Pelodiscus sinensis: one gene and its partners. The protein of the gene in region 1 purifies or fractionates together with the protein of each later gene. This does not show direct contact. Links are inferred from orthologs where the notes say so. Each region holds a gene or a part of one and is shown in the gene's direction. Other genes may lie near its edges. The genes, in order: UPF1, MOV10, CASC3 and ILF2.

Region 1 (8,256 bases):
GGGAATGTGTGTAGCCTTACAGCATTAACGTATATGCTTTTGCTTATCGGTTAATCAGTTGATTGACTACACTATTGCATCCCTACTTGTCACCAGCCTCCACTCTCTCCAGGCTCATATATATCCCCCTTACCCATGCTGTATTCACAGACACTTCTTTCATGAAAATCCAAGGAAGGCTACAACTATCCGGAGCTTCATGACTGAAATGGGGGTCAGGTCTAAAGAAATTTCAGGACCCGGATAATTGTGTGTCTGCTATTTCTGATGCATAGGTCAAGCCTGCTTTATTTCTCTCCTCTCTAGAATGGGGAAGTTGTAAACTATATAGAGAGGTACTGTAAGTATTTGGCAGTTCCCTTTCCCAATAACTCTATCGTTGTTATGCTTATAAGAATCACAAGGGATCTTTTTCAGGGGAAAAGGCAATACGCCGAGTTTATTGAGAATACAATAGAAAAGCAGTTAGCATACGCTTCATAAAGACAAGCCCACGCATATATACACACACACTGCCACACACACCCCGGTCCTGCAGATGGTGCATAGTTATCAGTCTGTTGTGGCTCAAGTCAGTCTTAGTGGCCAGGTAAAGCTGATTAAGTGAGGAGTCAGGTTTCTTCTGAGACTCCTCTCAGGCTTGGCTTGCTGGACTGAACCCGGAAATCCTAATGTGCAAAGGTCCCCACTTTATACATGTCAGTTCCAACTGGAGTCTGTGGGTTTTGCAGTGTCCTGCTGCAATTGTCCATACTTAAGAGGTGTCAATCTGTGTTTTCCAGAATTATACTTTGATGGTGATTGTCAAACTTCCCATCTTTGTCTCTCACTCGTGGGGATCTCTGCCTATCTCCACGATTCTCTCAATGCTGCTAATTCAATTCAGCCTCAGTCAGAATGGTGGTTTCCTGGGTATCTTCAAGATTTCCACTTCTTCTTGATCACCTGGGCATCTGTGATGACTGTCATGCTGACACACTTCCTCCATTCACACCAAACAATTGTGCGGAGTTTCAGACAAGATTAATAGTAACTAAAGGGACAGCAAAAAGAAAGGAATCTTCCACAACTTTTGTCATGCAGACAAGGAGTACAACTTAATTTGTAATGCTAACAGGACACAAGGCCTTACAGTAAACATCATCTAATCATGAGAAACTGGGTGAAATAGAAGCATACAGAACTTATAAGCAAGTCATTATACATCAAATCATTATGCATCATACTCATAGTTTTATAACCAGGGCTCGCTGAACCGCGGTGAGCCCCACTCGCCAGCTGCGCTGTCCGGCGATCTGCGCATGCACAGATCGTTCTATGCATGCGCAGATCGCCCAAACCCGGCTCTTCCCGGTTGCAATCTACTGCTTATAACCAATACTACAATATACATTTTTGCTATACTGTCATAGCGCACAAAACAGAAAGTACTTTAAAAGTCCTAGGTCATAGAAACCTGACGGTGTCATTTTAACACCTTTCTCCCTGGAAGATTAGAAATAGTGAGGTTATTAAAAAATCAAAAAGTCTGGTAGCACTTTAAAGACTAACAAAACATGTAGATGGTATCATGAGCTTTCGTGGGCACAGCCCACTTCTTCAGATGACTAGAGTGTTGGATGTCCAGAACCAAAAATAAATAAATAGAGAAGAAGGGAGCGGGACAGGGGGAGAGGAAAAAAATGGGAGGGGAGGAACAAAAAGAGGCAGTGAGTATAAAAATATCAAAGGGAAATCCGAGCTAGTATGTAACAGGCAAAACTGATAGTATATAAACACGTACCTAAAGACTGGATAGTTAAAAGAAGCAGATAAAAACCATTAGCTAACAATTAGAGAGGAAGAGTACTAACACCAGGTGAACTTACCTTTGAGACTTGAAGGACTCTAGTCCTGATTTTATATTTACACACAAGGGACTTCTCTTAATGACTGTGGGCTAAAAACACATCACTACTACCCCTCATTATTAAAAAAGACAGTGGCACAGCCGTGTGAAGGGATACTAGATAGCTCAAAGTCAAAACAAGCAAGTCCTTTTCCAGCTAAAGAATGGACTCAATAGAATCCTACATCTATAGACAGGCCAGCCCTTTGGAATCATAATGGCTTGATAAAACCGATCAAAGATTGTTTTAGCCTCAAACAGCTGAATTTGTTGCATCAGGAAATATATATATTTGTGATTTACAGACCTGGAAAACCATTCAACCAAATAGGAGAGAAGATCAAGAACTGCCCCAGCACAATACAAATGTCATTGGGCTAAGTCAAATGATTCTGGATGTCGACAGTTTAAACGGAAACCTACAGTGCATCCTGCTTCCTCACAGAAGCGTAGAAACTGAGGGTACGTCTAGACTACAGGCTTTTGTCGACAGAGGCTTTAACAGACACTGTCGACAAAGCCTCTGTCAACAAAGAGCATTTAGTCTACAGACAGTTCTGTCGACAAAGCAAGCCACTTTTTCGACAGAGTCCAAACGCTCTCTTTTGAAAAAGCACAGTGGGGATGCAACAGCACCTTTTGTCGACAGAACTCTGTCGACAAAAGGCGTTATTCCTCACAGAATGAGGTTTACCGCCGTCGACACAACTGCCGCGTTTTGTCAACTTACTGTCAACAGAACAAGTATAGTTTTGTTGACAAAAGTTCACTTTTGTCAACAAAACCCTGTAGTCTAGACACACCCTAAAGGTGAAAACAAACAAGCCATGTACGGGAAATAATAGCCCTTCCAACCACTCTAATTGCTTTTCTATGTTGGAGTAATGCATGATATTTCAAAGAGAAGGATGTTTCAAAGAGAGAGAAGGAGCAATTGGCCAAATTCCATCAACGCAAATATTTTATCAAAATCTGATGGACACTGGCAAACCTGGTCCATCTGTTTTCTTCTCCTACACTGGCAATGGGCAACTGAGGCTAGTGAGTGGGCCACATGAGTGGTCCTCCTTCATCTCAGTGGGCTCCAAGATTATCGTCACAAAGATGATCTCCCAAGATAGGGTAGTTTTGCTAACTGTGCTTGCATACCTAGAACTTGTACGGTGTGCCATTTGAACTGTAGCAGCAGTTAGGATGCAGAGGGAGCACACGGCTCTCCCAATGTTGTGGATAATAAGCACGCACCTCACTTCACATGCCCTTGCTTTATGTGCATTTCACTTTGGTAATACAGGTCGAACCTCTCAAATCTGGCAGGACTATGGATGCTACTGGACCAAAGAGCCCCCGAGGCCGGAGAGCGAGCCAGCCAGGAGTCCGCCAGCAGCTGGGGAGCCCCAGGTGAGCTGGCAGCAGATGGGCCAGTGGCGGCTGGCAAGCCCTGGCCCTGACAAGCCCCAGCCAGACTGACAGCAGTGGGGGTGGCAGCAGGGCAGAGAGCCCCATAGCCCAGAGGAGAGCCCAGGAGCAGGGTCGGCGCCAAGCAGGGGAGAGTTGACCTCCCTGGTCCAGAAAACTACCTGGTTCAGGATCGCTCAGGTCCCCAGGATGCTGGACCAGGGAGGTCCAACCTGTACCAGTAGAAAAAAAAAACCCTATGCGGATGGAAACCAGTGGGATCTGGCAACCCAGTGTATGGGCAAAGGTAAACAAAATGTCTCACAGGCCACCCCTAGAACCCTGATCGGCCAGAAGTTGCTCATCACTGTCTTACACTGAAACTACAAACATAGAGGTTAGATATAGAAGGAAACATATGTTCACTTTCCATAGCCATGAATACAAGTTTCAGGGTTGTGGGGAGGGAAGAGAAAAGGTTTAATGTGCTTGACATGCCTGTTTTGCCACAACTAACCTTAGAAAAATTCTGAATTTTGTGCTGGTAAAAATTGATGGGAACCCTAGAAATCAAAATCTTCTGTTTGTTTATCTCACCTACACCATAATTCTAATGTGCCTCAGTCTTACGTGGAAGGCCCTTTTTTAATGATGAGTAAAGATTTCAGTCTCCACAGTACATTTGATTATTAGCCTCCCCGTCCAGGCACAACTGTTAGCAATCAATCAATATAAATTAATAATAATAATAATAATACTTAACACTTCTCTATCACCTTCTGTCTGTCTCATGGTGTTTTAAAACATTAGTTAATACTCACACCTTTCTGTGATATGCATATTTCTATTCCTGGCAAAGGGAAACTGAGGCAGTGAGCTGGAAAATGAACCAAGTGTCCTACTTCCCACACTCTTGTTTAGCATCTACATCACACACGCTCTGATCTGGGAATGGAACCAGAGTCCTGGCCCCAAGTACCCCACTTTCACTACATCACAAATTGCACATGTGGCTTTTGAGATGTAAACAAGCATTCCCTAAAGATTGGCTTGAGACCCACCAAACTCATTTCAAATGGAGGCAACCATTGTGAATCCAGTGTTGGCCCGGAGTGACTGCGTAGCGACACAGAGACATGACATGCAGTCACTCTGGGCCCATGGTGGATTCAAAACAGTGACAGGAAGGTGAAAAGTCCCTTCCATGAACCAGAGGCAGCAGAGATTTCTGCTTGCTTTCTTCGCTGATAACACAGAACTTCCTCTCTCTTGGGGGAGAGAAGACAGCTATAGACCTTCCTCACCAACAGTGTGTGTGTGTGGGGGGGGGGGGGCGAGCTTGAGACCGGCACCCACCTACATGGAGGAAATTAAAGACCTCTCTCTCCCCACCAAGAGGGGAAGTTAGAGACTTTCACCTGTTTGTGTGGGAGACCTCCCACTCCCACCTATGGGGGAACTGGAGACCTCCCCCTCACTACTCATGGGGAGCAGTTAAGCGAGCGATCTCTCCCTCCCCCCCACCCCATGGGGTAGAGGCAGACTTCCCCTCCCCACATATGGGGGGCAGTGGTAGTCCTCCCCCTACCTCCCTGGGTGGCAGTGAAAGACCCCCCCCACACACACACACGTGTGCAATGGCAGATCTCCCCTCCCCTCCCCACCCCCACACCTGGGGGCCGTTGGAGACCTCCCTCCACTCCCCATGGGGGCAGTGCCCCCCCCATGTGGGGGCAGAGACCGCCCCTACCACTCCCTGTGGGGGGAGGGGGGGAGAGGACAACTGGCGGCCCCTCCCCTCACGGGAGCCTATGGTTACCTCCCACCTAGGACCCCGCCCCCGGGCCTTCCCTCCGCGCCCCCCCCCCCCCCCCCACCTGCCGCCGGGCATGCGTGCGTGCGTGCCTACGTCACGGCCCCACGCGTCCTGAGCGCGCGCCGCGTCCCCCCCCTCCTCCCTCCCCGTGCGTTCCGCGTCACCCCTGCTCCCTGGCCTGCCTGGCGCGCGGCGGTTCCCGGCCGGCCTGCTCCGCTCCCAGCGCCTCGGGCTTCGGCACCGCGGCGGACCCTCGCCCCCGCTTGATTCGGCTGCGTCCGGCCGCCCGGCCCGAAGAGGAGGGGCGGGGGGGGGAAGAGGGGCGGTTGCTTCGTTGGCGCCCGACGCGCCGCGCGGCCTGGTGCGCGCGGCCCATCCCGGCGCTCGCGTAGCGCGGTTGCCCGGCCGCCGTGAGGCGAGGCCCCGCCGGCCCCTCGCCGCCGCCATGAGCGTGGAGGCCTACGGCCCCAGCTCGCAGACGCTCACCTTCCTGGACACCGAGGAGGCCGAGCTGCTCGGCGCCGACACCCAGGGCTCCGAGTTCGAGTTCACCGACTTCACCCTCCCCAGCCAGACCCAGACCCCGCCCGGGCACGGCGGGCAGGGGCCGCCGGGGCAGGGGCCGCCCGGACAGATCGAGGCACAGGTGGGTCCGCGCTGGGGGGGGGGGGGATTCCCCTGAGGGAAGCCGCAGCAGCGCCCCGCGTGGGCAGGTGGCGTTCAGAGACCCCCCCCACACACACACTCAGCACGGGGGGGGGGGTTACTCTCTGCCTTCGCCTTAGCCCGGCACGTGCTGCCAGTGTAGGGGGGTGGGGGGCAGGGCTGGACCCGGTGCCCCTTCCTCTCTGAGAACACATGGCCGGGGGGGGGGGGGGCTGTAGAAGTGTCAGATTTCAGGGTTGCATCATGAGGAATGTGACTTCCTTCCGTGTTGTGGGTAGGAGCTGGCTTGAACCCCCCCCCCCCCCCCGTCTGCCTTTTGCTGCCTGTGGGGAACAGCACAATCCGCTGGCATGCCCCCCCCCCCCTTTCCAATTGGGCAACTTAGTTGTGATCAAATTCTGAAACACGTTGCATGGGGCTAATTCGTGTGGTGGTTTTTCCCTCTTCCTTGTTATCCATCTTTTCCCGTTGCATTGTGTGTGGTGGCTGGCACGTGTGTCCTATTCCTGTGAACCCCATTTGGGATTGAAGGTTGGAGACGATTAAAATGTAATAGACAATATTTTAAGGGAAATGTGGTAGCATTTGATATACCACTGAGCAATAGCCTTGTATAGTCCCTTCATATTAAAAAAGAAGGGAAACCAGGATTTTCTTGGAATAGTGAGTGTAAGAAAAGAGGAAGTTAAAAAAGAAGGGAAACCAGGATTCACTTGGAATAGTGAGTGTAAGAAAAGAGGAAGTTAAAAAAGAAGGGAAACCAGGATTTTCTTGGAATAGCGAGTGTAAGAAAAGAGGAAGTTAAGATGCATATACACGATGAAATATCATAAATGAAGGTAACCTGCATTTAAGCTTTATGACTCTGTGTGGCAGAAAATTTACATTGCTGTTTTTAAAGACATCTAAGCTTCATAGTTGCTATAATATTTAAAAAGATCACAGAATGTGTCAACTAGTCAACTGCATGGACAAGCAAATGCTGATATAATCCCAGTACCAACAATAGTTTGTAAACTATCTACTGATTAAAATGCAAATTAAAAGGTGAATTGAAGTGCTACTAAGTTTAAGATCCCAGTTCAAGAATATCGTGTGTGCTTTCATTTCTCCATTTACTTATGAAGACTTGTATTCAGAGTTCTGTCCTCTCCAAAAGTTGATAGCTGCATAAAGACAGAATCAGGGATGCAATTACCTGAGCTGTTCGTAATGTTGTCTATTGTAAGAGAGAGACAGACTCCTGAGCTCAAGTCTGGCAGTAGAAAGGATTCTTGGTTCATCTTCATTGGTCTCTTTACTTGGTGCACTCTGATATCAACCTCAGTAAAAACTAGGGATGTGAAAGGTTAACCAATAAGCATCCCACTTGATGCTTAGCAGTTCTGGTTAACTAGTGGGGAGTGGAGCAGCTCACTGCCCCTCCCTCCCCCCAGCAGGGGCTGCTTAAGTGGGCTTGGGCCCATCGCAGGCAGAGGCTGTTCTGGCCACCCACCGCAGCCCCTGCCCATGATGAGCTCTGCTTGCAGTGGGGAGGCTGCTCCAGCGGGATTGGGCTAAAACGTGCCCCCCATCCTCTCTTTAATCAGTTACGTTCCTAGTGAAAACTCATGTTGCATATGCCTAGACAGAGGACTTATTTAAAATAGAAGCTTAACAAATAAGAGGGGAAACGTTGCCATCTGATCCACATGCTGGAGAGAGCCATACTAACAACATGTATAGACCTCCTGAAAGTCTTTGGCAATCTTAGCACCCTAAGACTCCTGTCTGTAGATTAATATCAAATACAATTTCCTTTAAATATGTGGTCTGAAAGGAAAACAAATATAGAAGTTAAAAACTATGTACAGTGTATTTAGAGCTTTTATAATAATAAAATCTATTGCTATCCTGTGGGAAAAAAATTGGTTTTATATCTCTATCAAACTGCTGAAACAATTTCTTTCAGAAACTTTTGCAAGTTGTCATATTCTTCTTGATACTCCTGTTGCCTCCTTGTTTCACAACCTGATTTTCTTTAGATGTTTAGATAATGTTCCTTTTGAACCGCAGTATAGCAAGAACTATAGATTTCCTTAGTTTTCCTAACCTTGTTACATAGCTGTCTAGTCTTGTACATTTTAGCAGACTCATCTTGGGTTTTGGGGAACATTTTGCTGCCTTAAAAAGCTACATAAATTTGTACTCTGCAAGAGAAGTAACTAAAAATAAAACTTTTTACAAGGCCTGACAGATGATCACCTTTAAGTATTATTTCCATACCATTAAATCCAGTTTAATCTTTTATTTTTAAATGTATGCACATTGTTTATTTGCTATGGATTAATGTTCAGATGTCTCAAATTCCTAGATGTTATGAGGAGAGAGTTAGATATGGTTCTTTTGCCTGCTCTTCTAACAAAGTGTAAGCAATTGATTCTTCTCTATATCAGAGCTTTTTTCCGCTAATGTACATTAAACCAGGAACTTAAGTGTTTGTCAGAAT
Region 2 (7,514 bases), on another chromosome or scaffold:
AGCTAAAACTGATTTTAAAAAATGCAGACTCGAGTAATTGATTTAATTACAGAGGGCAAGTCAATAACCCAGATTTAATGGGATGGAAGAGTCTACATACAAGAGGTTTTCACTAGTTTAATTAAGGGCTTGTCTACCTGAAAGTTAAGGAGAAGTCTACACTAGCACTTCACCACACTGCAACTTTCCACTTCAGGGGTGTGAAAAGACACCCCCCACCACCACCACCAAGTGCAGCAAGTTACAGTACTGTAAAGTGCCAGCGTTAATGGACTCCCAGTGCTGTAAGGAGGGTGGTTTACACAGAGCCAGGGCTCCTGCCATGGTTACACTTGCATTACTTTTGGACATGTCGATAAAGCCTGGGGTAGGGTGTGAATTTAAAGTGCAGTAGTGGTTCCTGAAGAATTCCACTTGGACAGTCTTTGAAAGCACACCGGGCTTTGGCTGAGCAGGAGCAAAGAGCACTTCTGTGCCAGACTAAGCTGTTCACACAGGGAGTTAATCATTGTCCTAAGACAAACAATGGCCTAAATCAATTAAAAATCTATTGCTAGTGAAACTGGTACCATTTGTAAAAGAGACCAAGCCTTAGCTTGTGTATCAGCTGAGCGGCCAACAACAGGCCGGTGGGCTGGACCACGGGAAAGGTGTTTGCATGGACTGTAGGCAGCATCTCAATTGTCCCAGGGGTAGCCAAGCATTTGCAGTCTGTTGGGTGGAAGGTGCTGAACTACAATGAAGCCATTAACGCTCCGCATTCCTTCCTTGCATTGCCCCAGGGTCCCAGAAACACCGCCTAGTCCCTTTCTAAGCAAGCAGCTGAGTGCCAGGGATGCCCTTTCCTATGGAAATGGACAGGACGCAGCCTGGGGCCGTGGTCTCCAGCCTTTTTATGCGTGAGATCACTTTTCGAATGGAAATGCAATCCAAGATCCACCTGAAACCTAAACAGCCTGGCCTGGCCTCCTTTGTGCCCCTTCTCTGAGGTCCTGCCCCTGCTCACTCCATCCCCCATCCTCCCTCACTTCAGCAGGCTGGGGTGCAGGCTCGGGCAGTGTGAGAGAGGCTCTGAGCTGGACTTGGCAGGTAGTTGGGGTGCAGGAGGGGTTCATGACTGGGGTGGGGTTTTTCGAGATGGGGGCTCCAGCAGGGCACTGCTTACCTCAGGTTGCTCCTGGGTGGTGCAGTGAGACTAAGGCAGGCACCCCCTTGCCCTGGCCCTGCACCACTCCCTAAAGCAGCCAGAAAACTCCCTCCCAAGCCCTGTTGTGCCCCCTCTGCTCTGTGGAGAAAGGATACAAAGTGGGGGAGGAGGCACCTTGACATCAGCACCCTCCTTCCCCTGCCCTGCCCAGAAAGCTCCTGAGGGGCAGCTCCAAGGGAAAAGAGATGTGCAGCAGTGGGGTGAGGGGCAATTGAAGTCCAGCCCTTGATAACAGTGTCTTGGCCAAACCAGTCAGGATCCCCTGTCAGAGGCACCGGGATCTACCCGTAGATCCCCATTGTCTGGTTGGTGACCACTGGCCTAGGGTGTGTTTATAGCAGGCTCATTTCTTAAGAACATTTCTCCAAAGGGCTCCAGCGCCAGGAGTCACCTGGACACGGCCACCATCCCTGCCCAGGGGAGCGGCACCAGTAGGAACTCTCAAGGGGGGAGACAAAGGGCTAGTGCAAGTCAAGTGAGAACCCAACTGAAACCCGATCCCACGCTTGCCAGAGCGAGTCAATTACACAAAGCCAGCGTAGGGAGCGGCATGGTCGTCCACTCATAAAGCTTCAGTAGCAGAGCCTGTCTCAGCCATCCCTTTTGCTGGCCCTTGAACCCAGCCCGCGGGTGGCTTCGTGGAGGTTCCAGTGCTCACTGACGCACTTTTCCTCCCTCCTGAGACGCCTGAAAACGAATAAATGGCTTCCCATCCATGCATGGAGGCCTCCAATTGTTTGCCTGACTAGCACCGTCCATGTGGGGAATTTTACAATCTTCTCATAGGACTTGGCCTTATCCACACCCCTGACTCCCTCTGGGACAGGGAAACACCATGTCCCTGATGTACATGTTGGGAAACTGAGGCATGGAAAGGCTTAAGATCACACTGGGAACAAGCGGCAGAGTTGGGCATGAGAGCCTTAACTTCCAGAAAACAGCCTCCCTGTTGTATGCAGTGGCCTCTATTATTAATTTAATCTATCTTCCCCAACCCAGTTTCCTTTCCCAGAATACTCCATGGGGAAAAAAATGGTAGCTAACGAGGTGAGAACTTTAGAAAGGAGTGGTCCTGTGGCATTTTAGAGACTAACCAAAAGAAACAAACTCATGAGCTTTCGTGGGCAAAACTGGTAATACCTGTTCACCTTGGGCCCATTCTTTGCACAGCCCTCTTCCCTAGGCACAACACCAGCCTCCTACCTGCAAGGAAAGGGATCGGCCGGTATCTCCTCTTCTATGCCAGAGCTGCATGCCCTTCTGAATCCAGGCAACTTTCTTTTCTCGGAGGGAGGGAGGAAGCCAGCAGCTGAGTTTACTTACTTGACTTGCATGCCCAGTGGCTGAGTCACTAGCCTGTTGATTAGGTGCTGCCCTGGACAGAGGGTTTTAATTTTTAAAAGGGACAGATCATTCTGTGCTGGGAGAGGAGGTCAAAAGCTGCTGCGCTGCAAGATAAGCACAAGGCCAAGTGGCAGAGACTCACTCTGCCAAGAGCCCCTGAACTGCCAACACAAGCCAGACTCTGCCCTGGCAAGCCAGCCTGCACCCAGAGTTAGTTCTGTGAAATCACCCTGCTATCCTGCTACAAACCCTCCAGGCAAAAGGGCCTGGATGGTACCAGGGTGCGGGATAGGCTTTGGGCTGTAGTCCTACAAAGGCCCATGCATGCCTGCCCCTGAAGTCAATGGAATGACTCACTAGCAGTAAGGTCACACCTGAATAAATAGGGGCAGCTCCTAATGGCTTCCCATTTCAGATCTGTGCCTGGTGCGAGGATCAGAGCCTCTGACTCCAACGCCTGCAAAATGACCCCTTGGGGAGGCAGGGTGGCCTAATGGCTAGAGGGTGGGACTGGGAGGCTGTGGCAGTCAGTGGCCCAGGCTCTGATCCTGGCTCTACCACTGAGCTGCTGGGACACCTCGGGCTAGTTACTGCCCTGCCTTGTGCCTCAGTTTCCCCATTTGTAACGTAGGGCTCATGATACTGCCCTCCTCTTGGAAGTGTTGTGAGAGCCAGGAACCAGCACGGGATGCACTGAGGGGCACAGGCTCGAGCAGTGGGACAGAAACATTTTGGGACGCAGTCATGGCCCACAAGACACTGGGGACTTGCATGCCAGGGAAGACACTGGGGAGCACTCCCATGCTAGCATGCCAGACAGGGCGCTAGTGCCACGAAGGCAGAGCAGCCTGTCCCTAGCCTCCTTTGGAGACTGTCTCCAGACAGCCACAGCTCCGCACTGGACCAGAGAGAGTAACCGGCTCGGAAGCACTGGCCAGTCTGACTCGCAGCCCCCTCCCCTGCACCCTGTGGCCGCCAAAGAGAGGAGATTTCTCCAGCAGATGCCCTGGGGGCATCCTCCCAACTCAGCATTTTGCAGAGGCTCTGCTGGGAGAGGGGAGACACGGCAGGGACCGGATGGTCGTCCAGGGAGCAAGGGCGGAGCAAGGAGACCTCAGCTCGCCCTGTACCGCACACAATGGGCCCACGTCACCTCAGGGCGGGATCCCACAACGCGTATCCGTGGGCACGAAGCCGCCAGCACACAGGAGACCCCAGCAGTGCAGCGCACGGCCCCACAGCCCCTCAGCCACACTGGGGACATGAGCCCTGCCTCCGCACTGGCTTCCCCAGGACACCCAGTCTAGCCCGGGGCCTCGTCCTACTCAAGGCTCGCAGCTGGGCCCCGCACGGGTTGAGCGGTCGCCCTCTGGCACCGCAGAACCAGGGAGAAGCGCATCTGTCCGGGCTGAGGGGCTGCCAGAGACGGGGGCATTAAGTCCTCCAGGAACCACCCTAACGTTCACCTCCTGCTCCCTGGGCAGGCCCCTTGCTTTGCCCTGCCACCTCCAAACTAAACGCTCATCTGGACAATGCGGGTAGGAAACCCACCAAGCCCTTCCCACCTGCCTGGCACACGGCCCCTGCCCCAGGGCGACTGAGAGCCGGTCCCTGGCTGAGGCTGTGTCTACACGCAAAGTGTGGACGGGGGGCTCCCCAGGGGGCAGGGAACGGGGGGCTGGCGCAGCTGAGCTCTCCAAAGGGGTGCGGGTCTGCGCTCCCCCAGAATCCCCGGCGGAGGCCGCCCGGGCCCGGGGCTGGGACATCCCCGCGTCCCTGTGCCTGTCCCGGGAGGCGCAGAGCCCGCCTACCCCACCGCGGGAGCCGCTCCCGCCAGGCTGGCGCCGGGCCGGGCCCGCCCAGAGGGACCTGTGTGCCGGGGAGGCTCCCGGCCCCTTTCACTTTCGTTTCTGCCCGCGGAGCCCGGCTCCCGCCCTCCCTGGCCGCCCGCGGCGCCGCGCAGAGATGCCCAAGCGCAGCTTCGCGGAGTGCAGGGCGAGCGGGGAGCGCTTCGTGCGCTTCCTGGCGGACACGGCGCGGGGCGCGGAGCGCAGCCGGGAGGCGCTGCGGGACATCTACAACCGGGAGTTCCGCGCCCGGTAAGCGCGGCCGAGCCCCGGGGGGAGCGGCGACCCCGAGCGCTGCGTGGCCCCAGGAGGGGGCGGGCCGGGCAGGGGAGACGTGTCACTTCGGGGCTGCTGGGAACCCCCGGACGCCCCGGCCGGGAGGGGACAGTTGCTCCAGACCAGGACACTCACCTGGATGCTGACAGCGGCCTCGCTGGGGCTCCCCGGGCTAAGAGCCGGGGCTGGGCAGCCCCTGGGTGCGGGTGCAGCTGGGGCGCCCGTGGGGAGAGGGAGGGGGAGGGCCCGGTCTGCCCCAGGCTCAGAAGGCAGCCAGACACAGACCCTCCATGATTTCCCGTCCCTGCCCCCGGGGCGCTGGGAAGGAGGCTTCCCTGAGCCATGGGCCCTCCTTCCTGCAGGAAATCACTCCAAGCTGCCCAGCGCCCCTCTTCTCCAGGGGTCAGAACAGATCTGCACCCCGCGCCCATCTGGCTCGGGCCTGGGGTTTGGGGTGACTCTGGGAGGGGAGGCTGCTCCATTGCAGTTCCGAGCCGGATTTGACCCATCACAGCCATAGAACTGGCCCTTGGAACGGGCTGGGGGCGACGTTCCCGCTAATCTTTTCCATCCACGTGCAGAATACATTTTGTTCTGTGCACAAGGGCTGTGCGGGTGTGCACCACCCGCAGAGACACAGCCCTGGCTGCGGGCTGCCAATCAGCCGGGCGGCGTTTGAATCTCTCCTGAGCAGCCGCACAAGCGCCCCGCTTCCAGGGAGCGGTGGAGACACAATTGCCTCCCAGCCCCTCGTGGCTTTGGGTGGGCGTGGGCTTGGAACTGACAAAGGGACGCCTTGGGGGCCAGGCACAGGCCTCTTGCAGTATGCGGGGGTGGGGAGGGCATAGGCATAGCCCCAGCTCTCATGGTTCTTGTGCACCCGTGGCCCCACACTGTCCGGGGCAGAGCCTAGGGCCCACCCAGGCCAGGCAAAGGCAGGCCCCAGGGTGCTCAGGCAGGGCTTGGCCTTCCTGGGCAAACGCTCCCCTCCCCAATCCTGCCAGCACCAGGCAAGTGTTACGCCTGCTGCTAGGGAGCTCTGCCCGGGCAGTCCCTGGCACCTCTGGGCAGCAGGGCCCCTCTCTGGCCCTTGTCTGCCTGCCAACAGCCTCATGGCCCCCTGCCTGGCCTGTGCACTAGGGCACATGGGGCCCTGCTCTGCACTCGCCGCATGGGATCTGGCCCACAGCCCTGCCCCACGACCTGCCACCTTCCTGGCTCACAGGAGTGTGCCCCACCCCCGTGCAAAGGCAGCTGGTGCACATGGGTTAGTCCCGCCCTTGTGTAAAGGCAGCTGGTGCACATGGGTTAGCCCCGCCCCCGTGCAAAGGCAGCTGGTGCACATGGGTGGTCCCACCCCTGTGCAAAGGCAGCTGGTGCACATGGGTTAGCACTGCCCCCGTGCAAAGGCAGCTGGTGCACATGGGTTAGTCCTGCCCCCGTGCAAAGGCAGCTGGTGCACATGGGTTAGTCCTGCCCCCGTGCAAAGGCAGCTGGTGCACATGGGTTAGCCCCGCCCCCGTGCAGGGGTCCACCTTTGCCCGCACAGCGAATCCGTGTCACTGGAGAGACCCCCGAGTCCCTGGCTTTGCTCTTCCCTCCAGCCAGGCTGGGCTCTCTGTGCCTCCCGCTCGCCCAGGCCAGAGTGCGCGGAAGGAGAGCGGCTAGTGCAGCCCTGCCCCGGCCCTGGGCTTGCTTCCTCGCGTCAGAGCCAGAGCCGGGAGCAGGGGTGTGAAATCGGGACGTGTTACGTGGCTCACCGTGATCCCGCGGGCGGGGGCTGCTCTGGCTGGGCTGGAGTGCCCCCCCACCCATGGTGCGCCTAGGCTGTGGGGGGCTGGGGCTGCTGGGACCAGGGTCCCCCCTGCACCTTCCTGGGGCCGTTGGGCCGCAGTCCCACCTGTCCTCGCATGGGGCCAGGGCTGCTGTGGCCCTGCCTGCCCTGTCTGGGTTCCTGCCCCGGGCCGGTTACCTATCCAGCAAGCGCACTGCTCACCAGGTAACCTTGTGGCTCCTGAGCTGGGGGCGGAGGGGGGGCTGGATTTGCAACTACTCCCACCCCAGTGCAGGGGCCCAGCGGGGTTGCAGTTGCTGGGGGCAGTTGCCCCCCAGGGAAGACGCCAGCCCAAAGAATGGCAGAGCTGAGGGGCCCCGTGGGAGCAGCCCTGGGCGCCTGGTGGTTGCCCCATGGCAGGGCACGGTTGGGTTGGAGACAGGAGACCCTGCAGTTGAGGACCACCCCCCCGGAGAGGAGCACTGCTGGGTGGCAGCCAGGGTCCCGCTGGCCCATCGCTCTCCTCATGAGCAGCAGGGCGAATGCCCCGGCCCCCAATGCTGGCATCTGCCAGCCCCATCGCTCCGGGCAACGCAGCCCCGGCCCTGACGCGCCCGCTCTGTCGTCGCTGCAGGGATGGCACGAGGGAGCCCAACTTCTCCTCCGTTCTCTTCGCCCTGTGCAAGAGCGGCCTGGCCGAGGTGCGGGGCGACTTCGTGCGCTTCGGGAAGGTAGGTACTGCCCCCGGGAACCCACTCCTGGGGCGCGGTCCCATGGGAGGGGGAGCCCAGGCAGGGGGCACGTGGCCCCACGTCGCGCTGCCGAGGGGGAGCTTCTCAGCCCCCCCTCCCAGCTCAGCCCTCCATCCTGCCCACGCGTGGGCCGAGCCGGCTGCCATGGAAGCTGGCACGAGCTCTCCAGCAGGCCGGGGGGGGGCTCCCGGGTCCTGGCCGCAGGGCGGTTTGGTTCTTAGCCCAACAGAGCGTTTGGCAGCCACGCCGGGAACGGCCCCCGGGTCTCCCCCCGGCCTCTGGGCTCCAGGTCCCGGCTGGCTGGAAGCAGCTCG
Region 3 (7,418 bases), on another chromosome or scaffold:
CGGGTTCTAGACCAACTGGCTATAGGGGGTGGGAAACGTTTTTGATGGTGAAAACAGAATTCGAGACGCACAATGGTGATTTGTTTTCCTTTCAGTGTTTTAAGGACAGCAGTGGCTGGCAACTCGCGTATCTTGTCAGACGCTTGGATTGGCTAGAGAAAATTAGAGTGGTCCCTATGCTTTAGCTCTAGTAATTTGCTTCCTTTACGAAATGAGCCTTCATTGTTGTTCTACACTAGTGGTGATACCAAATGCTCTGGGGCAGGATTCTCCATCACCTTTCAGACTTAACAGCAGAATGGAGTCAAGGCAGATGGCCGGGGAATGTTTGGCTGCTACAGAGAGCATGCCTGTTACTCTCGTGCACAAGGCTTGCTTGTCAGATTGCTCCACCGTTCTTGTCCTACCTCTGACATGTGTGCGGCTGGGGGAGGAGCTAACGTCATTTCTGAAAATGTTCGTGGGCCAGGGAAGAAATGTTCCATTCTGATTGTTCCTTTGGAGTTGTTAGTGTTGTCTAAGGCCAGCAATCTTCTCTCCCTGCTTTGGTTCAAATGGCTATAAATAGTAATGCACAAATACAAAATGTGGCGTTTTTTTCCCTCCTTTTCCCTGTGAACTGGGATGTATTCTTATGCAATTTGGGAGAGAGGTTGATTCTTACAACACGGCAGTGGGCCGTGCTAGGGTTCCTGTAGGAATGGTGTTTGAAAGACGGTCTGAAATCTACATGAAAGGGGCAAATCTTTTGAGACATGGACCCTGGTACCACATAGCCTGAAACATTAGGGCTATGCACTGCGCTTTTTTTTTTTTTTTTTTTTTAAATAAGGCTGTTCTTGAGTGTCCTGCTTTCGCATGATAGCGTGTGTTCTTAATGGATTTCTGTGCAATTAGGAGCCAACATGTTAAATGGGCAAATATTAAGCTTGAGCCTTGTTTTCTTTCCTTGATGTTGTCTCTTTCAGGTCTGCATCAGGTGGGTTTTGCATTCTGGTTATACCCTGCATTCGTGGCTTTTCAGGGGTCAGAACACTTACGTCCCAGTGACAGCTAGCTCTGAGAGGTATCTGCTGGTAGCTGCTTGACCTCAGACTAAAGTCCCAGTGGTCCTGATTTCCCAGGGCACACCTGGTTTTTAAACTCCAGACAGGCAGCCATGTTTTATAAAAATGATCTTTCATAGATATCTATCCAGCAGTCGTTAGCTACAGATGGGGTGTGTGGGCAGGGAGTAGGTTGGAGGGAAAGTACCAAGTTAAATTTTCAGTGAGTGTTGGCATGGGAAAAAGTCTTATTTCTCCCAATATGGGGTGCAACACTGTGAAACTCAATCTGCAATGGAAGGCCCTGCAATTCCCTATTAGAACCGTTCTTTGGTTTAAAACCTTGCTTTCTTTAACCAAGTTTAAGCTAGTGTAAAAAAAAAAAAATCTTAAATACAATTAAAAGCTTGTCTGTATTCTTCAGCCTTGTTTTATGGCCATTTGACACCTAGTTGTCTGTAATGCATACTTTTGATACCATTTCTAATGTAAAATTGGTCGTCTTGTAAATATCTTATAAAAAACGTTCAGTTGTAAATAAACTTGTGGCTGTTAATTTTTTGAATTTCTGCTTCAGTTTGTTAGAATTAACAGTGTTACTGGGGAGTATTAAACAATTCTGCTTGTATGTTTAAAAAATTTAAACAAATCGAGATTTTTTTTTTTACAATAAAATAGAAAAAAAACCACGTACATGTTGTTGTCATGTTTGTCTCAAACCCTTTGCATATGTCTTGTTTAGAAACGTTCTCTCAGCCAATAAAAATATAGCTTGCTTCTCTCTTGCATGCTTGGTGCTGTCCATAGGAATGGTGTTACCAGCGTTAGAATTTTTAACCAGCTGCCATAGCTTGCTTAGAACTCTGAACTGGAAGAACAGTCTACCCTTAATGCCTTGTGTCTGTCTCTCTCAAAAAAACCAAAACAAAACTACATTTTAAGGTTCTTCAGTCTGAATAGCTGAAACCCTAACCAGCCAGCACTCAATTCCATAGCTAAATATGTGGGAGCCACTATTCAAATGTATTTTAAAGAAACACTTAATATTTCCCAAGACTGTTTTTCTGACTCCAATTTGCTCTGAAAGGCTTCTCAGAGAGTCTGTTTTGGCTCTTTAAAAACGTCAATGCAGATCGTTCCTGGGTCTGGGTCAGTGTGCGGCAAGTGCTGAAGGCCTGTTGCCAAATGCTTGCTTAATAAATTCTGTAGGGAGCAATAATGCTGGAGCCACACGAAGGTGCTTGCTCCTAGTTCATTTTTTTTGTTGCTTTCTTTACAAATCTTTAAGCGAGTGGGTGGATGAAAAGGAAAAGTCACTGCTGCTCATAGATAACAGTTGAGAGAAGGGCGTACCTCGGGAGCTGAAATACTAAATGCAGGAAGAAATAGATGAACCTATTGTGGAATGTATAGAGAATCACCTTACTTTACATAAAGAGAACAAGTGTGTTGGGTAGATAACCGTGCAAGGATGGATGTGTGGTCAATGCACCTCTGTCTTGTTCCAGTGATGGCAAGCAACATGATTTGTCTTCAGAGGGAGGTGAAGTGTTGTGCCAGTCACTTCACCTCTCTGTGCTTGTGTATGATGTGGATATGACATTGACTCCCATTTATCCTTGAGGCTTCGGGTCTTAGGGTAGTAGCCAAACTCCCTGGCTGTGTCTACACGGGCAAGTTATTCCGGAAAATCAGCCACTTTTCCGGAAAAACTTGCCAGCTGTCTACACTGGCCACTTGAATTTCTAGAAGAGCACTGACGATCTAATGTAAAATCATCAGTGCTTTTCCGGAAAAACTATGCTGCTCCTGTTCGGGCAAAAGTCTTTTTCCAGAAAACTGTTCTGGAAAAGGGCCAGTGTAGACAGCACAGTAGTGTTTTCCGCAAAAAAGCCCCAATTGCGAAAATGATGATCGGGGCTTTTTTGCGGAAAAGCGCGTCTAGATTGGCCACGGACACTTTTCCGGCAAAAGTGCTTTTCCAGAAAAGCGTCCTGCCAATCTAGACGTGCTTTTCTGGAAATACTTTTAACGGAAAACCTTTTCCGTTAAAAGCATTTCCGGAAAATCATGCCAGTGTAGACGTAGCCCCTCTGATCACAGGCATCTAAATACCTTTGAATTTCTACTGGAGTCGATGGGAATTTAGACACCTAACTACCTATGAGGAATAGGGCCCAAGTTATCAGGTTTTCCTTTCTGGAAAAGGACACACAGGGCAAGCTTAAACCACAGCAAATAGTCCTTCAGCACCATAATTCGAGACTAACAAAAACGTAGATGGTGGTATGAGCTTTTGTGGGCACAAGAAGTGGGTTGTGCATACACAAGCTCATGATATCACCTGTAGTCTCGAGGGTGCTACAGGACTATTTGGTGGTGGTTTTTTTCGGTTGAATACGACTACCCCTCTGCATACAGGACAAGGTAAGGAGTGTGAAATTGAGCTACCCCCTTGTGGAAAAACTTAGGTGCATGCAAGAAACAAATCATGTAGAGTCCTGCATAGGTTTGCCAGTTGTCCTGTTTTTGTCCAGACAGTCCGGTAATTGCGTCTTCTCTTGGGTTTAAAAAAAAACAACAGAAAATACTGCAGGAGTAAAATACTGTTTTTGGCTCAACAAATTTGGGTGCCTGGGTCCTTCCCCCCCCTTCTTTTTTTTTTTTCAACCAATTTCCCCCCCACACACACCTTCCTCCCCCCGACAGGTTCTGGATTTTTTGTGAAAGTATCTGACCCCCCTAGCCCTGCAGAAAGGCGCAGGCCTGGCTCTCCCCTGGTCCCAGCTGTGCCCCCGTGTGCTGAGCCAGCCCGGCCCCAGGCCCAGTGCTCGGCTCAATCGTGGAAATGGCCTGCAATCCGCTTCAAGCAAGGAAATGACGTCACCTGGACGGTAACATGACGTCATCGTGCGGCGACGGCACGACGTCACAGCCGCGCCAGGCAGGGGTGGGGCCGCCCGCGCTGAGCGGCTCCCTTGAGGGCGGGGCAGGCACTCCGGCTCTCTGACAAAGCCTCGCGGGAGCCGCGGAGCGGGCTGCCCGGAAGTGGGACTTGTGACCCCTCCCCTCTCGGGCGGGGCCGGAAGCGGGAGGCGCCGCGGTGCGCCCCTGGGAGCTGTAGTCCCGGCGCCGTCCCGTCGGGCCCTGCGCGCCCGCCCCCGCACAGCCCCCCCCAAGATGGCGGACAGGCGGCGGCAGCGGGCCTCCCAGGACAGCGAGGACGAGTCCGACTCGGCCGCCTCCGACAGCGCCGACTCCGCGGCCGGCGGGGCCCGCTCCGGCTCGCCCGCCTCGCCCCCCCGGCCGGCCCGGGGCGCTGCCGGGGACCTGCCCGCGGGGGGCCGGGGCCGCGCGGCCGAGAGCGCGCCCGGGGCCGCCAAGAGCCCGCAGGAGTCCGAGTGTGTGAGTGGGGGCGGGGCGACAATGGGGGGGGGTCTGAGGGATGGGAGGGGCCTGCCCCCCCTCCCCGCGGGGGGGTTCCCCATTGGCAGGGGTCGGCCCGCGCGCGTCGGGGGGGGCCTGTCCCGCGTGGTTGGGGGGGGCTCGCTTGTGCACAGGTCGGGCTGGCTGAGCCCCCGGGGCGGGGCCGTCAGGGGAGGTGGGAGCGGCCAGAGTGTTGCATGTGGCTGGGGGGGGGCGTTTGCCACCCAAACGTAATATCCCCCCCCCTCCGCGGCTTGACCCTGGGGAGAAACTCATTGGGGCCGATGTCTTCGAATTCCGTTGTCTGCTCGTCGCCGCGGTGGCGGCAGGGCCGTGGGGGAAACCGCTTTGTGTGACTGAGCCTCCTCTCTCGCTTGTTGTTTTTAGTCACTTTCCTTTTGCAGTGCGAAGCGCGTGGGCAGGCCGCAAGCTTACCGGCCCCGCATCTTAAAAATCTTGCTAAATTGCCCTCCTCCAGACCAGTAAGGCGGACGTATTTAGAGAGGAATTGATTAGGAGCCCTGGATTCCACCTCCCCGCTCAGCCCCTTATCAAAAGGATCTCGGCAGCGCAGTGGGATTTAGCTTTATTAATCCGTGTCCAAAGATCTTATCAACACACTCCTCTCCTGTCCTTTCCTCGTGCACATGCTACAGAATTTACTTCAATCCTTGATACAGACAGGCAATGTAACAAAGGGCAAAAGAGTATGTGCCAAGTGACCCTCCTTGCCACATCTTTATACATTACAGTAGGTCTGGAACTACCGTTACATTGACTTGAAAAATTCTGCATCAATAATCTTTTTCATTCCAGGACCACATCTTTCCTCATCTGTCTTTCCACTGTGGCAATACAGATTATGCAGACTCTGGTGTTCAAAATGAGTTAGTGCAGGTGGTTTGGGGCTGGACTTTTAGATGAATATCTCCATCTGGTCACTCTGCAGCCCTTTCTCGTGAAACTTTTGAGCTAGTTAGCAAAGCTTAATTTGGTCGTCAAGACAATGGCTCAGCCAATACATTTCTCAGATTTCAGAGAAATGTAAAACAATCAGGATGGTTGAAATGGGTTCTGTCAGGTAAAATGATGTTGAGTGAAAGGGTGTTAAAATTGAATCTTGTGTTTTCATAGATTGTCAGCTGAATGAATGCCACAGTGTTTATAAGTTTCAGTGACAGTGTAAATCTCAGCTGAAAATACTCCTTGCCTATGCCTTTGGTGGACCTAGCATTTCCCTCTCTGGTTTCTTGTTTCTGACATGTTTACAGACTTTCTTCTTTGTGTTTGTCATTGACTCTTCATGGGCAGGCCAGTACTATTACCCTAGAGCAGGGGTGGGGAACCTTTTTTGAGTCAGGGGCTGCTGACCCATGGAAAAATCAGCCACACACAAGTAAGCAGTGGAAATCCTCTCTCCCCCACTGGGCCCCCAGCCTAGTAGATTGTGTGTGCTCTGTCCCCACAGAGAGGCTTGGATTGGAGCACCAGCACAGGCTCCCCAATGTTAGGGGGAACCCTGAGTCTCAGTGTCCAGATCCAGGCAAGCCAAGGGCCACATCTGGCCCCCAGGCCTGAGGTTCCCCACCCCTCGTAGACTTTTCTGAAGTCTTTTAGGATAATGCTCTGCCCATCTGTCCAGTTTAATTGTTCTTCCTGTGTAGTTTATAGCCGTGTAGCTTATTCCCTCGGACCTCTTACACCATGTTCCTATTCTGCTTTCGGGTATATTTGTAGTTCACCTGTTTTTGCTTTTAGCCTTTACATTATTATATACACAGTTTTTTAATTTTTGAGCATGAGCCTATTTTATTAAATTCCTTTAGTCTGATACTCTGGTTCTTTTCCAGAATTTACCTCTGTGATCTGATCTCCTCCTCCAGTTCAGTCTTACTCTCTATCCCATAAAGACAGACGTTAACATTTATGTTTCTGACATCTGTAGCAGCTGTGAGAGTTTGGTGCTCCTCAGCACATGGAGGCTGGGGAAAGCCACTAATTTAAATAATCCATAAGAATGGATTAGACCAAAGGTCTGTCTAGCCAAGGAGTCTGTCTTCAGGCTGTGGCCAAAGCCCAGGTGTCCCAGAGGGAATGAACAGAACAGGTAATCATCCCGTCACCCATTCCCAGCTTTCAGCAATCCCCCAGTAACTTTCTGAGCCAGCAGTCTGATTCTAGTTTTATTTTATTAAGGGAGCTCATCATTTCTGTGTAGGCCTCTTTCCCCTAAAGATCAGTACTGACTAACCACACTTTAAACCCCTCCTCTCCATACTGCCTTTTCTTGCCTGGAGGACTTGAATTTCCCTCAGTCTGGCCGGCCTTGTGCATGCAACTGGATGCATTTTCAGGAAAACTCTTGTCCAAGTTCTTAGATCCATGTTTGTTCTAAATGTAAGCTTCCAGGATGACTCTCCTGTGTGCCAGGGTCACAGGCATCTCCCCAACCCGGCTCTTGTCAAAAGCTTGTCTAGATGTCTAGTGAGGTCACATCTGATAGGCAAGTCACTGAAATTTTCCTGGAAATTTTACACATCCAGTAACATGCTTGTGTGTCTCTCTCTTTCAATAGGAAAGTGAAGATGGCATTGAAGGAGACGGTGAGTAATAAGTATCTTTGGGCTGTCCTGGGAGGGAGAAGGGAAGCTATGAAAGCACAGAATCGTTAGCTATTAAAAATGCATACTCTGAGGCCATTTTGAAAGGCCAGTTGTCTGGTCCCCTGCTCCAGGAGTGTCTGAAGCATGTAATGCTGGGCTGGATGGAGCATTGGTCTAACGGCAGTGCTTTTCAGCAGGGAGATTGAGGGCCAGTTTAATACTGGTGCTTAGTACGCGTGTGGTTTGAATGCTGTGTGTCTGTGCACAGGAATGTTGATGAGTGATGCTCTAAGTGTTATAATTCAAAGCTAATTCATGTTTGGAGAAAACACCACTTCTGCAG
Region 4 (7,909 bases), on another chromosome or scaffold:
CCCCCTGGGGGCAGTAGCGGGGACTGCAGCTCTCCTTCACCCCCCCGGGGGGCAGTAGCGGGGACTGCAGCTCTCCTTCGCCCCCCCTGGGGGCAGTAGCGGGGACTGCAGCTCTCCTTCGCCCCCTGGGGGCAGTAGCGGGGACTGCAGCTCTCCTTCGCCCCCCCCCCCCCCGGGGACAGTAGCGGGGACTACAGCTCTCCTTCGCCCCCTAGGGACAGTAGCGGGGACTGCAGCTCTCCTTCGCCCCCCCCCCCCCGGGGACAGTAGCGGGGACTACAGCTCTCCTTCGCCCCCTGGGGGCAGTAGCGGGGACTGCAGCTCTCCTTCGCCCTCTGGGGGCAGTAGCGGGGACTGCAACTCTCCTCCCAGCTATTCCAGCATCCTGAACTGAACCCCCAGCTCCCCCGGTCAGGCGACTGGGCTGGCACGTACAGCCCTCGTCTGGCCCTGGCCCTGGGGGCAGAGGAAAGGAGACCGGGAAAGGGGGCTGCCCTGAGGCCCCGGCACCCAGCAGGGCCCAGCCTTTAGAAACCCGCCTGCTTTGGGGAGCTGGCTGCTGTTTTGGAGCCTTGGGGGCTGGCAGCACCGAGCCCAGTGCAGTCTGTGGGGGGGTCCCCCAAAGGGAGAAGGGAAGCCATGCACAGGGTCAGCCTGTAGGAACCCCAAAGACCCCAATGGGTGAGTGATGCCCCCCTAGAGAGACACAGGGGGCCATGCCCCCCCAGTGGGGCATGCAGAGCACAGGACTGCTTCATGGCCTGCTGCTCCCTCACCTCCGTGATTGAAGAGGGGGCTTGGGCCCCCTGGTGGGGGGCGGGAATTAGCCAGGGGCCGGCTGGGAAGGAGGTGGCAGAGCGAGCGCCCAGGCCAGGCAGAGGGAGCCTGGTTCGAGACCCAGGCGGCTCTGGTTCCGCCGCAGCCCCGTGGGCGAGGCCTTTGCCTTGAGGTTGCCCAGAGCTGGTCTCTTTACTCCACGCCTGCAGTTGGCCCCCAGAGAGGGGGCTGCCTGTTGGGGGGCAGCAAGGAAAGTTGCCCCCTGCTGGACTGTGACCTGCTGGGCAACAGGGGAACTCAGAGCACCCATGGGCCATGCAAAGCGTTTGTAATGGAGGGAGCCAAGACCCCGGGCTCCACCCCTGCCTGCTCGAGGGCAGCGGGCTGTTGTGGGGAAAGCAGGGTGGAGGCCAGGACTCCTGGGTTCTCTTCCCAGCTCTGGGGAGTGGGGTGTAGTGGTTAGAGTAGGAGACAAGACTCTTGAGTTGTTTTCCAAGTGCCTCCCACTGACCTCAGGGGAACCCCTCCCCTTGCCTCAGTTTCCCCACAAGTGAAATATTGTAACAACTCCACCCCTTGCCCCAGGAGAGGCGCTGGGATGCCAAATTGCCTGACTCTGGGTGAGGCTGCCTTGGTCTCTCCTTCCTTGGCACTCCATGGGACCCCGGCTAAGTCCGCCCAGCCCCCTGGCTCCCCCAGCCCAGGCACATCTGCAGAGATGATGCTCAGGCTGGCTGTGGGGGGACAGCCACTCTTGGCGGGGGAGGGGGAAGCTGGTTATTTTGGCCCCTATGTTCTGTGGCCCTATGGATCGGCTGGGGATGCCATTGGCGGGTGGGAAATTCAATTTTCCCCCCGCCAAACTGCCTGGGCCTAGGGGAGGGGGAGATGAGCTTGGTACTCCCAGGCTTGGTACAGATTTTTTTGTAGGGGGGGGGGGGTTTCTCCAGCAGCCAGTGCTGGGGTGGGGCTCCACAAACCCCCACCCCAGCCCTGGATCACAAAAGGTTTCTCTGTCCCTTCAGCCAGCTCCTGAGGCTTGTGCTTCTTGTCTGGAGGGCAGAGGGCAGTAAACCCCCTCCGGATTTGGGGGCTGATCCTCACAGCTGGGTCCTCCAGTCCATGCTGGGGGGGTCACACCCAGGAGAAGGGGAGAGTTTATAGCAGCAGGACAGGACTCTGAGGCTCCGGGGCTCTGTTCCCCCAGGTGCCGGCCATCCCTCGGCACAGCTGGGACCCACGTCAGTGGCCATGAGCCCAGGCCTGCTGACCAAAGGCGGGTGGCCATGAGAGGGGGCAGAGAGCCCTGCCTGGAGCCCCCCGTCCACTGGTGCCTGCTCGTCATGAGCCCCGCCCCTCTGCCCACCCCCTATTTATCTCGCCCTTGTGTTGGGGCCACACTGCTCCTCTCTGGCTCTGGCAGTTACGGCGCTCCTGCTGCGCCCTCGACCCCTCCTATCCTCCGAGATGCCCAGAGAAGAGGCCCTAAGGTGGCCTTTTCAGGGCCCTGCTCCTGACATTTCCGTGCTCGGAGCTGGTGTCCAGAGGGGGCCGAGCAGATGTTCGGTGGTGTCCTGGCGCCACCCGGAGGTCTGGAGCACCAGACACGTGCAGACAATGGGCGGGAGGAGCACAGCCGGCTGCAAACTTTCAGACCAACTTTTCCCGTGTGCTGGAAAAGGCGGATTCATCAGCCCCAACCCCGCAGACAGGACCAAACCTCGCTGGGCCTTGTGGAGGCACCGGCATCTTGGTTTAAAATGCGACCGACCCGGCACCGGCAACGGAAGGGGGGGATAAGGGGTTGTTCAAAGTTTTCACTTTTTTGCCCCGAATTGGGAGGGGAGCATTTGTCAGTATTTCCAAAATCCTGCCAGGCCAGGAAAGAGGCTGTGGGCTGAGACCGAGTCCTGTGCAGCACGTCTGTCTTCTCCAGGGAGACTGCAGATTCTGCGGGGCAGCGACTCGCTCTCTTCTGCAGTGAGCAGCCCCGGGTTTGCCTGGGCCCCGTTACATGGTACCAGGATCTGACCACCCCCTAATTCCCTGCTCCCGCTTCCTGCCCACAGTGTCTGTCTCCGTCCCAGGCAGATTGGTAGCCTCCTGCTTGTTTAGCTGTCAAGTCCGAATGCAGAGTATAGACAGGGCTGCGCCTGACACAGGGGGCACCTGGTCGGTGGATGGAACCTGGCCTGTAGGTCATAGCCCTTGCTTGGGTCTCTGCCTGAAGCTTCCCCGGCTCCCAGGAGCTCACAAGTCATAAGTCAGGGCTTCCACAAGCCATCAGATTTCACTCAATACCTGACGCGGGACTTGTGTTACCTGCCTTCTGGGCCCCGGTCTCCCGCTTTTCTCCCCAGCCACCGGGGGCTGGAAGCTGTTTTTCTGGTTTGCGAAAGGGGAGCCGAGCTGCTCTGTGCCACCACCTGACTCCCAGAGTCGGGCTTTAAGAACAAAAGCACCCGCCAGCATGGTACAATTGCACGTGTGGGCATCCCAGGGACCGACAGCTCTGCGAGGGGTGGGCTGACCGTATTTCTCGAAGGGAAAACGAGACACCGCATGGGGCTGGCCCAAGCCACCCATCCTTTGTGGGGGCCCTTGCCCAAGGGACGCCCCAGGCACTCACTGGTCAGTCGAACCCTGCCATCCCCTCCACTGCCCTTGAAGCTGTCACTGATCCCTGGCACCCCGCTTGCCCCCCACGAGAACCCTTCATTCTCTCCCCCTCCAGCCCAGCCTCGCCTCCCCCCTGCACGGGCTGGCATTCCTCTGTGCCGCACCCCGCTGGTTTTTCCAACTTGGCCAGAGCGAATGGGACAAATGCCCAAGGGCGGCCCGTCCATATCGGCGAACTAGGTGGTCACTTAGGGCGCCAAGTTAAATGGGGCGCCAAATGGTGGTGCAATATCATTGAGGGGTTTGGAGGGGGGGTGCTGATTGCATGGTTCGCCTAGGGCGCCAGTTGCTGGCAGCTAGTCTAGGGCCGCCCCTGCAAATGCCCACTGTTACCTGCAACGCCTGGACAGCAGGGACAGGACTTATTAAAGGGACCATCCCAGCTGACCACTCCTTAGCCCAGACGCCTTGGCAAGGCCCAGGGGTCACGTCATGGCCTGTATGGCAGCTCCAGCGGGCTCTAATCTGCAGTGACGTCACTTGCAGGAACCACAGAAGCCATCGTGCCACACCCAGAAGCCAGGCACAGTGATGTCACACCTCCGCAATGACGTCACACCCAGATGCTGTGATGTCATGCCCCAACAATATTCTACCCAGATGCTGTCCCACGGAGACACTGACAGGATGTCACACCTGAACACCAGTGCAATGAGATCACATCCACACACAACTGTGCAAGAACATTGGCACCCAACTGCCCATGTGGTGATGATGTCACACCTGACCACCAATGATGTCACCCAGGTGGTGATGTCACACCCGGACACCAGCTCACAGGGACGCCAGCAAGGTGGTGATGTGCCAAATAAAAATGCCTCCTACCCCGGGGGGGGGGGCAGGGCTTTTAAAAAAAAAAAAACAGGTTAGCAGAGGATGGTTTCGATCCATCGACCTCTGGGTTATGGGCCCAGCACGCTTCCGCTGCGCCACTCTGCTGCACGCTGCCACAGCCTCTAAGGTTGCACATGGAGCTGTGTGCTCGCCCTGCACGCATGCGCCCTGCACCGCCCTCTGCACTCCACCTAGTGGCCCTTACCCGCCGCTGCAGAGCGGGGCCACTGGCGGCACACGCAGCAAGGGCCCCTCGCTGGGCGCGCCTGCTCTCCAACGGCCCCGCCGCGCGCCCGACCTGCGATTGGCCGAGGCGCCGACACCTCATGACTGATCGGTGGGGAGACCAATGGCAAAGCCGGAATCAGGAGGGGGCCGGCCGCGCCCAGCCAATAGCCGGGCAGCTTGTTGGCGGGTGCGCAGCGCAGGCCGGCGTCTTCTCCTCTCCTCAGCGCGGGCTCCATTGTTCGACTTCAGCGGGCGCCATGAGGTGAGGGGCGGCGGGATCCGCGGGCCGGCGCTGGGGGGGCGGGAGGGAATTGCGGGGAGAGATGCCCCGCGGGGGCCCGGTCCTGGGGGGGGGGGGGGTCTGCGGGGGGAGGTGCCCCGGGGGGGTTGGAGGGCCCGGTCCCGTGGGGGGAGGTGCGCTGGGGGGGGCCCGGTCCCGTGGGGGGAGGTGCGCTGGGGGGGGCCCGGTCCCGTGGGGGGAGGTGCCCCGGGAGGGGGCTGGGGGGGGCCGGGCCCGTGGGGGGAGGTGCCCCGGGAGGGGGGCCGGTCCCGTGGGGGGAGGTGCCCCGGGAGGGGGGCCGGTCCCGTGGGGGGAGGTGCCCCGGGAGGGGGCTGGGGGGGGGCCCGGGAGGGGGCTGGGGGGGGGCCGGTCCCGTGGAGGGAGGTGCCCCGGGAGGGGGGCCGGTCCCGTGGGGGGAGGTGCCCCGGGAGGGGGGGCCCGGGAGGGGGGCCGGTCCCGTGGGGGGAGGTGCCCCGGGAGGGGGGGCCCGGGAGGGGGGCCGGTCCCGTGGGGGGAGGTGCCCCGGGAGGGGGGGCCCGGGAGGGGGGCCGGTCCCGTGGGGGGAGGTGCCCCGGGAGGGGGGGCCCGGGAGGGGGGCCGGTCCCGTGGGGGGAGGTGCCGGGGGGAGGCTCCGCGGGCCGGGCCGCTCCCTCCTTTGACCCGCGACCTGCCTCCTCCCCCAGGGGCGATCGAGGCCGTGGCCGTGGCGGGCGCTTTGGCTCCAGGGGCGGCCCGGGCAGCGGGTAAGTGGCGCTCGCGGGGGGCGGGGGCTGGGGGGGCCGCCCGGCGCTGCAGGGAAGTGGCGATTTGTAACCTCCAGGGCCTGGTCCGCTGGCGCTCGGGAAGGGGCGGAACGTGCCCCCTTGGCAGCCGCCTGCAGACGGCCCGTTACCCCGGACGGGCGCAGCGTTCGGCTCGTCGCTCTGCCAGCGTTTCGCGTTTTTAAGCTGACGCTAGAGCCACAGAACAAGGGCCAGGAAGAAGCAGAAGGGTTGGCACCCCGGGGTGTCCCTGCCGTACCGGTACCTAGTGTGTAGGGTCCAGGGTGGCTCTGGCAGCCAGCTTGTTGCGAAGCGGGGGGGGGGAGGGAGCTTTATCTATGTACTGTGAAGCAAAGCCCCATAATCCCCTTAAGCTAAGATCCATTGTGTGGGGGAGAACCAACCACATACAGCAGAGGCAAGAGCTCTTAATGGGGCCCCTTCTAAGATGGGGAACACTTGACCGACTTCTCCTTTTCAAATAATATACTCTGGTTACTAGGAACGTTAATGTGTTTAGGTAAATGGGGGGAGCCTTGTGTAACTGCATGCTAACTGATGAACCCAGGCTCATCCGTTAACTGTACACATTCACATCCCTACTAGTTATGGTGCACAATTGCTGGTCAATTTGGGGTGGCTTCGCTCTCTGCTATGAGGAGAGTCCAAGCCAGTGTGTGTTAAACTTCTGTCTCCCAGGTAAAAGGGAATTTTGGCTTGTCCAGCAGGGTGAGAAGTCCTCCCATGAGAGGCTGGGAAAGAGTTTGCTTTTCTCTGAACACCCTCCTAATCAGGGTGTAGGATGTATTGAACCAGTGGTTCAGTCTGCTGTAGGGTGTCTGCCCTGTCATCAAAGGGCAGTTAGAGTTTAAAGTCATCATAACTCATCTTCAGCTTTTTCTTTTTTTAGGTTCAGGCCCTTTGTGCCACACATCCCCTTTGACTTCTATGTGGTGAGTAACCTGGCTTAGCTTAGCCAGTCCATAGTATTGCCTCTATAAAACTGGTGCAGGGACATTGTGTTGCAATTATGTTCCTGGTTTAACAATAAACTTGATTGTAAGGTGTTTCTTCACAGCATAGTTAGCACACTTTAGTTAATGACACTTGAACTAATCTAGCTTCTCAGCTGTAGTGAGACTGAGAGCAGCTATACTGCAAAATATTCAGTTACCCAAAGTGATTTGATTAGCTGCTGCTGAATTGTTTTGCAGCTTGACTGTATCTTCCCTTCTGCACTTAAACAGTACACAAGCTAGCTGGGAGCAGTGTTCCCTGTAAGCTGAGCACTTGGGTGGCCACCCAGGAGACATCCAAATGTTGCCCACTTGATTAACACAGCATCCACAGCCAGCAGCATGTGTTTCTCCTGGTGTTGCACATCCACACATGCCATGGTGCACAGAACAAAAATTATTCTGCATGTTAAGGAGAAAATTGGAATGTTGGCTGTGAGCTCAAAGCACCCCTTCATTTGAGCTAGACACTCCTGTTTGACAGGAATCAAGTTAGGGGAAACTTGAGTGATCTGCTGTGCAGACGTACCCACGCATTTCCCAGCTCAAACCATGCAGGCTGAGGCATCTAATAGCTTTACTCGGGAATGGGCAATAATTTTGGATGGGGAGGCCACTCCAAGAGTCTGGTAAGTGGTCAAGGGCCATGCTTTTCTATGATATTAATGGGAGAAAGGGGGTGTCTGGGGCAGAGGCTGGGTGCAGGAGTAGGGAAGGGGTTTTGGCTGGGGTGAGGATTTGGGGTGCCAGGTGCAGTCTCTGGTTGGAAGGCGCTTACTCTAGGTGGCTCCTGGCCAACAGCCCAGCAAGACCCTGGCTTAGCCCAGCAAGTAGCTGGCTGCTGGGGCCAGCATGTGTGTGGATGCATGGCGCTTACCTCTTGGGGGGGAGGTCTTTGTGCACTGCCCCAGCACAGTCCTTGCAGCTCCCGTTGGCTTTTAAGGATTGTTCCTTCTGAATTTTTTGTGATTGTGCCTCTCTCAACTGTAATTTCATAGCATTAAGTTCCCAGGCAGCTCTATGTAGAACACATGCTCTGTGGTGTTCATTGACCAGTTCTAGTGATTCTCTCTTTGAGCCCAGTGAAGCTGTGTGGGCAGGACTGAAGGTTTCCATGCTCCATTCAAAACCTACTGAAAATAAAATGCTCATCTTGACTGCTACAGTGGAACAGTCATTAGAAGCAGGAGGCACTTGGGAGTGACTAATGGATGTAATCAGTGGAGTTAAAAATTGGAATAATTGTCTTGTTGCTAAATGAGCCACTCGAATGACCCTGTCTCATTGGCATGACCCCAGTCTCTCTGTTTCAGTGTGAAATGGCCTTCCCTCGT

The links.
Region 2: the proteins of UPF1 (region 1) and MOV10 purify together in Homo sapiens (affinity purification with mass spectrometry; 3 studies listed by BioGRID and IntAct, with this or other methods). This does not show direct contact. The link is inferred for Pelodiscus sinensis from reciprocal best matches to the Homo sapiens genes UPF1 and MOV10.
Region 3: the proteins of UPF1 (region 1) and CASC3 purify together in Homo sapiens (co-immunoprecipitation; 5 studies listed by BioGRID and IntAct, with this or other methods). This does not show direct contact. The link is inferred for Pelodiscus sinensis from reciprocal best matches to the Homo sapiens genes UPF1 and CASC3.
Region 4: the proteins of UPF1 (region 1) and ILF2 purify together in Homo sapiens (affinity purification with mass spectrometry; 3 studies listed by BioGRID and IntAct, counting the BioPlex papers as one, with this or other methods). This does not show direct contact. The link is inferred for Pelodiscus sinensis from reciprocal best matches to the Homo sapiens genes UPF1 and ILF2.

Annotation. Positions count from the first base shown.
Region 1 is NC_134729.1:19,442,283-19,450,538, reverse strand, and holds the start of UPF1 (regulator of nonsense transcripts 1), read left to right. Parts: upstream 1-5,246; 5' UTR 5,247-5,547; coding exon 5,548-5,748; intron 5,749-5,770; exon of another isoform or gene 5,771-6,452; intron 6,453-6,511; exon of another isoform or gene 6,512-6,573; intron 6,574-8,256. UniProt on the Homo sapiens protein: RNA-dependent helicase required for nonsense-mediated decay (NMD) of aberrant mRNAs containing premature stop codons and modulates the expression level of normal mRNAs.
Region 2 is NC_134737.1:2,048,540-2,056,053, reverse strand, and holds the start of MOV10 (helicase MOV-10), read left to right. Parts: upstream 1-4,443; 5' UTR 4,444-4,516; coding exon 4,517-4,650; intron 4,651-7,082; coding exon 7,083-7,179; intron 7,180-7,514.
Region 3 is NC_134739.1:10,950,310-10,957,727, reverse strand, and holds the start of CASC3 (protein CASC3), read left to right. Parts: upstream 1-4,106; 5' UTR 4,107-4,226; coding exon 4,227-4,451; intron 4,452-7,047; coding exon 7,048-7,075; intron 7,076-7,418. UniProt on the Homo sapiens protein: Required for pre-mRNA splicing as component of the spliceosome. Core component of the splicing-dependent multiprotein exon junction complex (EJC) deposited at splice junctions on mRNAs.
Region 4 is NC_134734.1:23,581,666-23,589,574, forward strand, and holds the start of ILF2 (interleukin enhancer-binding factor 2), read left to right. Parts: upstream 1-4,672; 5' UTR 4,673-4,775; coding exon 4,776-4,780; intron 4,781-5,481; coding exon 5,482-5,541; intron 5,542-6,469; coding exon 6,470-6,512; intron 6,513-7,888; coding exon 7,889-7,909. UniProt on the Homo sapiens protein: Chromatin-interacting protein that forms a stable heterodimer with interleukin enhancer-binding factor 3/ILF3 and plays a role in several biological processes including transcription, innate immunity or cell growth.